Caenorhabditis elegans: one gene and its partner. The protein of the gene in region 1 interacts with the protein of each later gene in a pairwise test. Each region holds a gene or a part of one and is shown in the gene's direction. Other genes may lie near its edges. The genes, in order: wrt-6 and gras-1.

Region 1 (6,120 bases):
AAGATCATGTTCTGCATGAAGTTGGACCCAAAGCTTGTTCTTTGTCTTGTCGTGTTATTGAAGTTTTTTTGGCACTCCGATCGTTCTGGCAAATTTTTTCTGCAGTTCGAACTGGATCAGACAAGGAATCTCTGATACACTGTCGTAAATTTTGTACTGTGAAAACTGCAATTTATTGCTTAATTGGATTTAGCACAGAACTTTGGTACTGTCCAAAAAAAAATGCAGCTAGTTTCTTTAAACTGATATGTCAAGCATATTTGGGCACAGACAAACATCATAATCTTCGTAATGAATGTGTATTTCCACCATGCATTTTAAATATATTTTGAAGTAAATGCCATAAAAATGTATCTTTAAAGGGCTGAAACTTTATTTGCCGTAATTGTGTTTTAGACAATGTTAAAACTAAATAAATCAATTAATTTTCATCTATATTCCAATTAAGAAAGGTACTTTTAGTACTAGAGTTGGTTTTTCCAAAGCCTTGAATTAGAAAACATATTCCACACATTTGTATCTTTTTTAAATTAGCAAATTATTTTAAAAATGTGGGCATCAAGTACCAATATATATCTATTTGCCTATTTATTAAAAATCTAAAATTTTAAGTCATAAAAAATAAAAACGTCTGGAGTTTTTTGTATTCCCAGGTTTAAGAAATAATCATCACTTAGCTTAATGAAGTAAAATGCATATCATGTTTAAAGGAAATAAACAAATTGGCAAATGAATAAAATTTTAATTTGTTTCAAAATTGTGTGTGCCGTTCTAACATTTGTGTAAAGTTGGTTGAAGTTGAGGATAAAGTGCGCACTTAAAATTACTGAAAGTTAGCTAGGTTAAGATTGCTAAATTTTTTATTATTAAAAATAGCTAAAATTAAAAAAAAAAAAAAAAAAAAAAAAAAAGTTGCTAAATTAGGTTGGAAAGTTGCCAGAATTCGCGGAAAAGTTCGTGCATTTTAATTAACCACATTTCTTGTTTTAAATAGTTTACAAACCTGAGGAAAACTTCAAAAACTAATGCAACACTATTTTACGCTATTAGTGTTCTTTATTACTTCCTGTTGACACCTTAAGTTTCTTTTTATTTTACAGATATCAACTATAAAAAAATGATTCACAAATGATTTGTCTGGTGATATGAGCTGCCAAACAAAGAAATTAAAATTTTTAGCAATTTCAACTGTTGTAAAAACTTTGAATCACAAAAATCTTCCAAAAGGTACACAAAAGCGTATTGATATTTTTGCATTGTTCATTTATGTCTTGTAGAAAATATACACAGTTTTCAATATCTTGACCTACTCAACAAGGTACTTGACCAAGTCCGATTTGATTCAGTTTTTCGACAACCCTGATCTTGTTCTCCTTTTCCTTCAATCCCCCGCACATCGCCTACAATCGCAGTCACTTCAAATACAAAAATGATTTCGTTCTCGCTGTATATCCTCCATACCTTGTATCCACTCATCACGATGCTTCTTCAAAATTGACCGCAACTAAAGTATACACATACATAGAGAAATTATTTCGGACTTTGCGATTCCCAATGGAGAGGTGCAGATTCGCCCTCCCCTCCCCCCTCCTGAAGAAATCTTGGCGGGACGAAGAAGTGGGCGGGCGGATGCGGGAAGACAAGGCAATCTTCTGGACTAATTCATAAAAACGCGCTGAAATTAGTGGAAACCGGGAAAACGAGGAGGTGGGAGGTGCTTGTATCTTCCCAACGTATAAAAGTGACCAGAGCTGTAGTTTTGCCATGTTGGATGTTTTGGCAATTTTTCCACCTTGCATATCCCGACCTCATTCGCCCAGCCTCCTTTTCCTGCCCTCCGCTGGGTTTAACACCGTAATCCAACAATTACACGGTGTCGTCGGATTTCTTCATTCAACTCTATTCATTGTCTTTTTCTTTTTCTTCTTCTTGTTCCAAACTATCCAGTTCTCTTCGTTTCACTTTTTTTGAAAATTGTCTTCCAAATTTTATTGCTCAAGCTAAAAATATTCTGACTTTTAAAATCCTTGTATTATTAACGTTCCAATAAGAACAAAAATATATATATGTATGCTGTTCTGTTTCCAGAATGACATTACTCAACTTGTTTTATTGTTTCTGCCTACTATTTGGAGCAGTTTTGGCGGATTCCATTCATGATGGTGGATCTTGTGGTACGAATTCAATTCCTTACAAAATGGAAGTAGACAGCGAAGGAAAACCAGGTATTTACTAATTTTCCAGAGCATCTCAAAAAATTATCCATTTCAGTTATATCATGTGAAGCGCCATCCTGCCTTGGAGTTTCAAGCTCTGCAGCAAGACGCCCAAGAGTTTTGGATGTGGTGAGAGATACTTGAAAGACCTAGGCGCCTAGCAGTAAAATTATTAAGAAATCGATTATTTAGAGAAACTCTTTCGGGGACATAATCCTTGGACTGTAAGTGGCTCTATAATTTTGTGCGATTAAGAAAAATAGAGCGGCCATTAAAAAAAAGTCAATTTCGTAGAAATTAACAGATGGAAAAGCTAAACCATTCAAAAAAAAATTCAATAAGGACGCAATTCTAATTTAAAAAAAACTATAATCTAAACTAAAATTGGAAAACTATGGTTTTTGCTTTCTGAACATTTCAAACCCAATTTAAAAAATCTATTTGAAGTAACGCCGAACTCATTACAAAAATAGAAGCCTTGAAGAAATCGCAGAGAAAAAAGCTAAAACATATGAAGAATATTAAAATTATTCTGTAAGAAGAAACATTTTGAAAACGTAGTTAGAGCTAATACTTTCATAGAAGAGAAAACATAGACAACTGTTTCAGAAAAAAAACATCGAAATTTCAGTTTTTTTGGGTCTCAATACATTGATGAATTGCATCCTACAAAATTTTTTGCAAAGCTTCTTGCTATTGGTTCAATATCTTATCCATACCGTACCTATATATTTGTCACCATCTCCGATTTTTCTCACATCATCGCTTTATCTTAGATCAGTGCGCCCGTTGATTATACATCCCGAATGTGTCTTGTTTGAATGTAAGGATGTTTCTTTCACCCATTAAGCTTTACGATCTTTGAGACTTATCCAATTAAAGTGGCTAACTGAATCTTCGCCCGATTCGTCTCGGCCGAAGCCTATTCATCTTTTTTGATGTTCCTATTTTAATTGTGACGACGTCAAGCGTACCAAACAAGCTACGTATGCAAGCCAATTAATTGCGATGCGAGATTAGAAGTACATGAAACACTATGACCGGAATCGTTCCTCCGGATGAGTCGTCGTTGACCGAAAAAACTTTTGGCGGGCGTAGTATAATAAAACTTGATTGAATGATGTATAGCATTGGAATATTTTTCCAGAGTTGCGACCCTTTCAAGGAGATTGTCTGCGTCAAAGACCTGCAATGGACTTCTGGGCTTGTGGAAATCAATAACGGAACACATAGAACATTGAAAACCGAGTGTTGTTCGTACGAAGGAATGTCTGATGCGAAAACAATCAAGAGCATCTTCCTTGGACCAGGACAATCGTTTGTAGGAGGAATGGTGGAAAAGGATGGAGAGCAATCAGGATTCGATCTTATCAAGGAGATTAGGAAGACTGTCAACGCAGATAATCAGTAAGAGAAATTTAAATGATCGGGTATTTTTGGAACAAAGTTTCTTATTTCAGAGTTCAATATATTGTTGGTGTCTACCGCATGCCTTGTGAAGCCACCTCCGATTCAAGTAAATTTTTTGAAATTTTGAAATATTTTTGCAATTTTAAGCTTCACTGTTTTCAGGCGAGGAAGCTCTTCCATTGCTTTCAAGAAACAGAAGAAAGCTTCGTGATAGAGTTGGAAAATACGATGATTATGAGGAAGACAGAAACTATCGCTCTGAGAGAAGACGTCCGTTTGCAATGAGAAGACGTGCCCTCCTTCAAAGACTCGAAGATATGTATGATGATTACGATTACGAATTCCGAGTTGTGAGACGACCATTCAGAAAGTAAATTTTATCCGGCATTTTTATTTAAGCCGAAAAATTTTCCAATTTAAGAAGCCGCCTTCCATACAACGAGAATGCTCTTTGGCCACTGCAATACTCCTCGCCACAACGTTCCCGCACATTTGCCGACAACACGTACAACAAAGAAACAGGTTTGTTAACGACAATGCAAGACGGAACTGCCGCTCTTTCTAACTATGGTGATTCTTCAGTAGAATCCGGGCCGCTTCCTCCACCACCGAGCTCCAACTACATTGACGTGAGTTTAGACTAACCCATACATCTAATGTCAACTAATTCTACTAGTACTAACTTTCTAGTCGCAGAATGTTGCCCCAGCTTCGCCTGTCGTTCAATCGCCAGCCTACCCACAGACTCCAGCAGAAATGCCTCTGCCACCTCAATCAGGTTCATATTCTGGATCGTATAGTGGTTATCCAACTGCTGATGCAAGTCAATACAATGCGTACCCTGCAATGCAGCAACCAGCATATCAACCGGCCTACCAACCGGCCTATCAACCAGCCTACCAGCCAGCCTACCAACCAGCATATCAACCAGCATACAGTGCAAGAGGATACTCGGTATTTTAATTAACAATTTTAATTCATTTTAAAAATAACGTCATTCTTCAGCCGAATTTGAATGGGCTGTTCGGTGGAACTGGCATGCAGTGTTTTTCCGGAGATATGGAGGTAGAGACAGAAGACGGAATCAAGATGATCAAGGATCTCAAGATTGGCGACAAGGTTCTCAGCATGGACGAGGCTTTTGTGACGTATTCGCCCGTTATCATGTTTTTACACAAACGGGATGAAGAGATCGCGGAATTCAATCTCATAGAAACAGCCAATGGTCACTCAATTAAACTGACCGATAATCATTTGATCTACGTGTCTGACTGCCGTACTAGATCCGACTTAAAGTAAGAAATTAATGATTTAACAACAAGTAAACTAATAATTATCCAGATTGGTCGCCGCGAAAGAAGTCAAAATGGATGATTGCATTCACGTCACCACAGACAGCAATGTCGTCATCAAGAAAAAGGTATCCAAAATCAGCAAGGTCATCGAAACTGGAATCTACTCTCCACTTACTTCCACCGGAGATATTATTGTCAACCGAGTTCTGGCTTCTTGTCATTCCAACTTGGCGTTGAAGTCACTTCAACAAACTTTCTTCTCACTCTACAAACGTACTTCAAGTGTTTTCCATAATTTGATGTTCTTCAAATCCTCCACAGAAGAGGGAGATCTTCCAGTTGGAGTCGAAACTTTAACAAGTGTCATGGACTTGTTTATTCCTCAATCATTTGTATGATTACTAATCAGTTAATATGTATAAGTTTATAATAATTGTACGTTGTTTAATAATGTTTTTCTTGCTTATGCTTTTTATGCAATGATGTTAAAATATGCGGTTGAATTGTGCATTTGGTTGCAGCTGCTTTCTTTCACTGTCGCCTTGCCATGTTGTAAAATAAACATAACTTATTGAGTACAAACACTTTATGTTTCCTTATTTTGCTTTCCATTTTCAGAGCCTACAAAAAATAAGGTACCGTACTTCCTCTATTAGTCTTGCACCACTACGGGTTAATCGAAAATTTTTCTTGTCTTGCAGCTTCTAATAGTCTTGCATCAATCTTTTTGCTGTAAGCAATACTTTATTTAAACTTCAGAAAACTTGTCATTTTTTGGACAAATGAAACTTAAAAGTGTTCAAATTGATGATGAAATATTGAAGAAGTATGTACATATTTTTCCTTGTTTAAACTATATCTAGTTAAGTTTTCAAGAAAAATTGGTAACTGGTAACAATTGGTAAGAATTGGTAACAATTATTGAGCTTTCAAAAATTAGTCTTACAGTCGTAAAAAAACATACGATACATGTTCAAAGATGATATCTCGTGTGTCTTTTTGGGAAGCATTAAAAGGATTGTCGAACTAGACACTTAAATATTTTTGAAATATTATGTGAAATTCATTAAAGTAGTAATTATAAATTAAACGTATAGTTGCGCCAGTGAGGACTTTGTTAAAAATCATGTATAGGGTGCCAAAATGGCCAAAGGTTATAGTAAACCTTTTTTATAAAACTTTTACTGGCAGTCAAATGA
Region 2 (3,605 bases), on another chromosome or scaffold:
TTAAAATAATAATTCATTAGGACAACTCACTAAGCGTCTGTAACATTTTTCAGCTCTGTGTTATCCATATTGATAAGAATATCTGTCGCCAAATTGCAGTACTCTGTTTGGTTCATTTGTTGAAATGCTTGGACGGTAGACGAGGAAGATGTACCACCTTGTTGACCAGTTTCTGATGATTCCCATAGAGTACCCATTGAATTCGGAATGACACGAGAATTCTAAAAAATGAATTTAATTTAAATCCCATTTTCTTAATTTTTTTAAACCATTTGCTGTTGATCAAACTGATTTGATGTTCCTTGATTCATACTAAGTTCATTCAACTCTCGCCGGAGAAGTTCTTCCCTCTCTTGGGAACGTAGACGAGCAGTTAATTCAGTGAACATGTTAGGAAAAACCGTTTGACCCGGAAGATATGGAAGATCAATGTTTTCAATACTCTTTCCGCTGGCAATGAATGGTATTGTTTTATTTGGATCGATGACGTCATTGTTTTGAGAAATGTTAATAGCAGCATCATTTGACTCAGAAAGCCATGTACTTTGTTCAATTTGTTCTGCTGGAATCAATACACTTGGACGCTGCAACTAAAAAATTTTGAGAGAACTGCAAAGCTCTAATTTACCGGGAACTGATGACGCTGGACCATTTCAAAAACCCCATCGAGATCAGCGTTCAACTCGGAAGACGGAACTTCACCCTGATTGTTGGCTCCATGATGAATATTTAAGTTGTTCACTTCTCTTATAATTTCAGCTGGAGCTTCATCCACTTTAGGCTGAACTGAACCGAGTTTGCGTGTCTGTCAATAAAATTCATTAAACGGGAATTAAAAGTTAAAACCAACCAGGACAGGAATTGATTGAGATGAAAGACGACGTTGTGATGAAGCTGCCAAAGTGGAACTGGAAGGAACAAGCGCAGTATCTAAGGCTGGGACAGATTCGGAATTCGACAATTCTTGGATTGGGAGAAGCCTTTGTGTGAACGAGTTTCTCACTCCAGCAACTTGACTACTAGTGGGCACCTCTGACGATGTAAATGATTGAATTTCCTGTCGAAGAGATTGAGGTGGTACTTCACTTGAGCGAACCATGTTCTGGAAACATATTTTATCAATCAGAATATGAAAACAAAGTAAAACCGTTTGCGCGATTTGCTGAGGAACAGAAGTACTGGTTGGTAGAACTGCTTCACCAGAGAGTACAGGTGGAGGAAGCGGCTGGGATAAATCTGAAAATCGACTTGAAACTTAGGTCATTAAAAGTTTCCACAAACCTCTCTGATTACCAGCGAGATATCGCTGAGGATTCATACAGAAATTCCTCGTAAACTCATTTACTTGTGCTATATATTCAGCATAAGAATCATTCATCGCGAATGATCCTTATTTTGACAAAAATCAAGGGAATTTTCACAAAAGTAGGAAAAGTATTTAGGAACGAGTTTTCGAAAGCTGAAATTTCGAAAGCGTGTCATGTGTTTGCGTGTTTCAGTAAATACCGTAACCTTCATATATTTCAACAACAAATAAGAAAAGGTGCGCACGCGCTAGTCATTTGTTTGGTCTTTTAGTCGTTTATTTTTTTGCATGATGATTGTGTTTTAGTCACTTTTTACTTAAGTTTAATAATTTTATATGCTTTCTTCTAAAGTTATTACCGAATTTCCCATTATAAACTTTGCGCGTCGAATCTGGCGCTTGCGTACATGTTTCTCGTCTCTAGCTTTTCCTTTCATCTTCTCACCAATTTTACAACTTATCGACTTTGTTTCGAGTCTTGTGTTGTTTAAACATTTAAAAAACTCTAAAAACATGTTTTTTTGTTTAATATATGTTATTTCAGAGTTTCTGCTTTTATGGATCACATCGACGCTCATAGTGCGGTTTCCACGAGTTCGAGCTCTTCAAAATATGATACGCCGGATGACAATATTTCTGAACAGCGACTATTGTGTGACGCAAAAGTAATTATTTGATTCTCCATTGAAGAACAACCATAATATTCGTTACTACAGGAAGAATATCCACTGAATGATTATCTTTTCGATGGGATCAATCAAGAATCCGCACAACGGAGCCTTCTTCTATGTCGTCAAACATTTGAAACTTCCTTTGGCTTTGCTCTCCAATCATATGTATTCAAAAGAACATCTTCAAACAGTTACGAAAGAATAACTTATGTGGATTACGTGTCGGCTGATAGCCCAGCTGATCGCTGCGGGATAACACGAGGTATTCAATCATTTAATTCAGCTTTTCCTGCCAACTACTGCAATTTTAGGCGACATGGTCATTGCTGTCAATGAAAAAAGCGTCGTCACTGCCTCCCATGCAGAAATCGTCGAATCAATTGCTCAGTGTCTTCAAGTCAGTCTCGTTCTGGTCTTCAAAGATGTAGCAAGAATCGTGGAATTGAGCATGCGGTCGATTCAGTTACGATTCATGCTCGATGCAAAAATTAGAGAATTGAGGATGCTCGAAAAGACGGAAGAAGATTTGCAAGCATTATATGACGATGAACGTAAGTCGAGTTTACGGTTATTATTTTGATTATTTGTAACAATTTTAGATGGCAATGAGGAGGAAGACGAATCACTTGAAAGCACGCTTTACGAACTTGATGAGGAGCTAAAAAATGTACAAAATCCACAAGAAAAGGAAGCAAACGGCACTGATTATCGCCATCTCATTCGCATCAACAGTAGCACGTCTGTTGGAACTCCCCAAGTCACGCGTCTCTAGTAAAATCAATGTCTTTCATATTTTCACGTTTATCTCTGAACACTCATGGGTAAACATGTATACTCTAATTATATATTTCGATCCCTGGTACATAGTTGTACATATATGTATTTTAACTTCCTGTCTCCGCCCAAAATTTGCCATTTTATTCCCATTCCAGTCATTTTGATTCCCACAAACCTGTGATCATGGTTATGATTCTAGCCTGCCTGTTATACTATTAGTTTCAGGAAATAACATGAAGTTTTATCTACTATTCCTGACACAATTATTTCAATTATCCATGAGGTTCTGTGCCTTTTCTACTTTTTCGTTTGTTTTTCCTTGACAAAACTACTTTTTTTCAAACAGATGCACTCATTGTCAAGGATTCTTCTTCATCGCAGTAACAGTGTGCTCAATTCGCCTACTTTTCTTGTTGCTGTTAGGTAGACCTTTTCATCATTAAAACCTGTTTTATTCTGAGTATCCGTTAAATTCAATATTATCCCTCTAAAAAATGTGTTCTACTTCAGACAAACATCAGCCGGTCCACCTCCAGCCACTCCAGCTAAAGAAGGATCCTTGACCTACAAGTATGAACAATTTATTGGAAAATGGCCTAAAGTGTTGGCACTTCACAGGACTGTTCTTGAAGGTGAGGGAGTTCTCCGATTAACTTACTTACTTTTGAAATTCAAAAATGACATTTTCTGATCTTTTTTATTTTTATTCAGAGATCTTGACATGCTCTCTTAAAGTCGCACGGATTTATTCAGATGGGTCTCGGCGCAAAGTTTATGGCAACTTAAACTTCGCCCCGTGACTCATCTGAATAAATCCGTACACCTTCATGAAGGAATGCCAAAATCGTGTA

The links.
Region 2: the proteins of wrt-6 (region 1) and gras-1 interact in a two-hybrid assay, tested with the Caenorhabditis elegans proteins (one large-scale study listed by BioGRID).

The regions. Positions count from the first base shown.
Region 1 is NC_003284.9:3,478,165-3,484,284, forward strand, and holds wrt-6 (Warthog protein 6 N-product), read left to right. Parts: upstream 1-2,085; 5' UTR 2,086-2,089; coding exon 2,090-2,225; intron 2,226-2,271; coding exon 2,272-2,345; intron 2,346-3,363; coding exon 3,364-3,623; intron 3,624-3,676; coding exon 3,677-3,732; intron 3,733-3,788; coding exon 3,789-3,996; intron 3,997-4,047; coding exon 4,048-4,148; intron 4,149-4,208; coding exon 4,209-4,255; intron 4,256-4,322; coding exon 4,323-4,580; intron 4,581-4,631; coding exon 4,632-4,921; intron 4,922-4,967; coding exon 4,968-5,319; 3' UTR 5,320-5,502; downstream 5,503-6,120. UniProt on the Caenorhabditis elegans protein: Intercellular signal essential for a variety of patterning events during development.
Region 2 is NC_003279.8:7,833,964-7,837,568, forward strand, and holds gras-1 (General receptor for phosphoinositides 1-associated scaffold protein 1 homolog), read left to right. Parts: upstream 1-1,844; 5' UTR 1,845-1,863; coding exon 1,864-1,971; intron 1,972-2,022; coding exon 2,023-2,239; intron 2,240-2,288; coding exon 2,289-2,528; intron 2,529-2,576; coding exon 2,577-2,749; 3' UTR 2,750-3,004; downstream 3,005-3,605. Other genes in the region: F30F8.1 (RING-type domain-containing protein), read right to left, coding at 31-221, 270-584, 629-805, 851-1,102, 1,148-1,236, 1,282-1,378; F30F8.9 (Letm1 RBD domain-containing protein), read left to right, coding at 3,101-3,177, 3,265-3,386.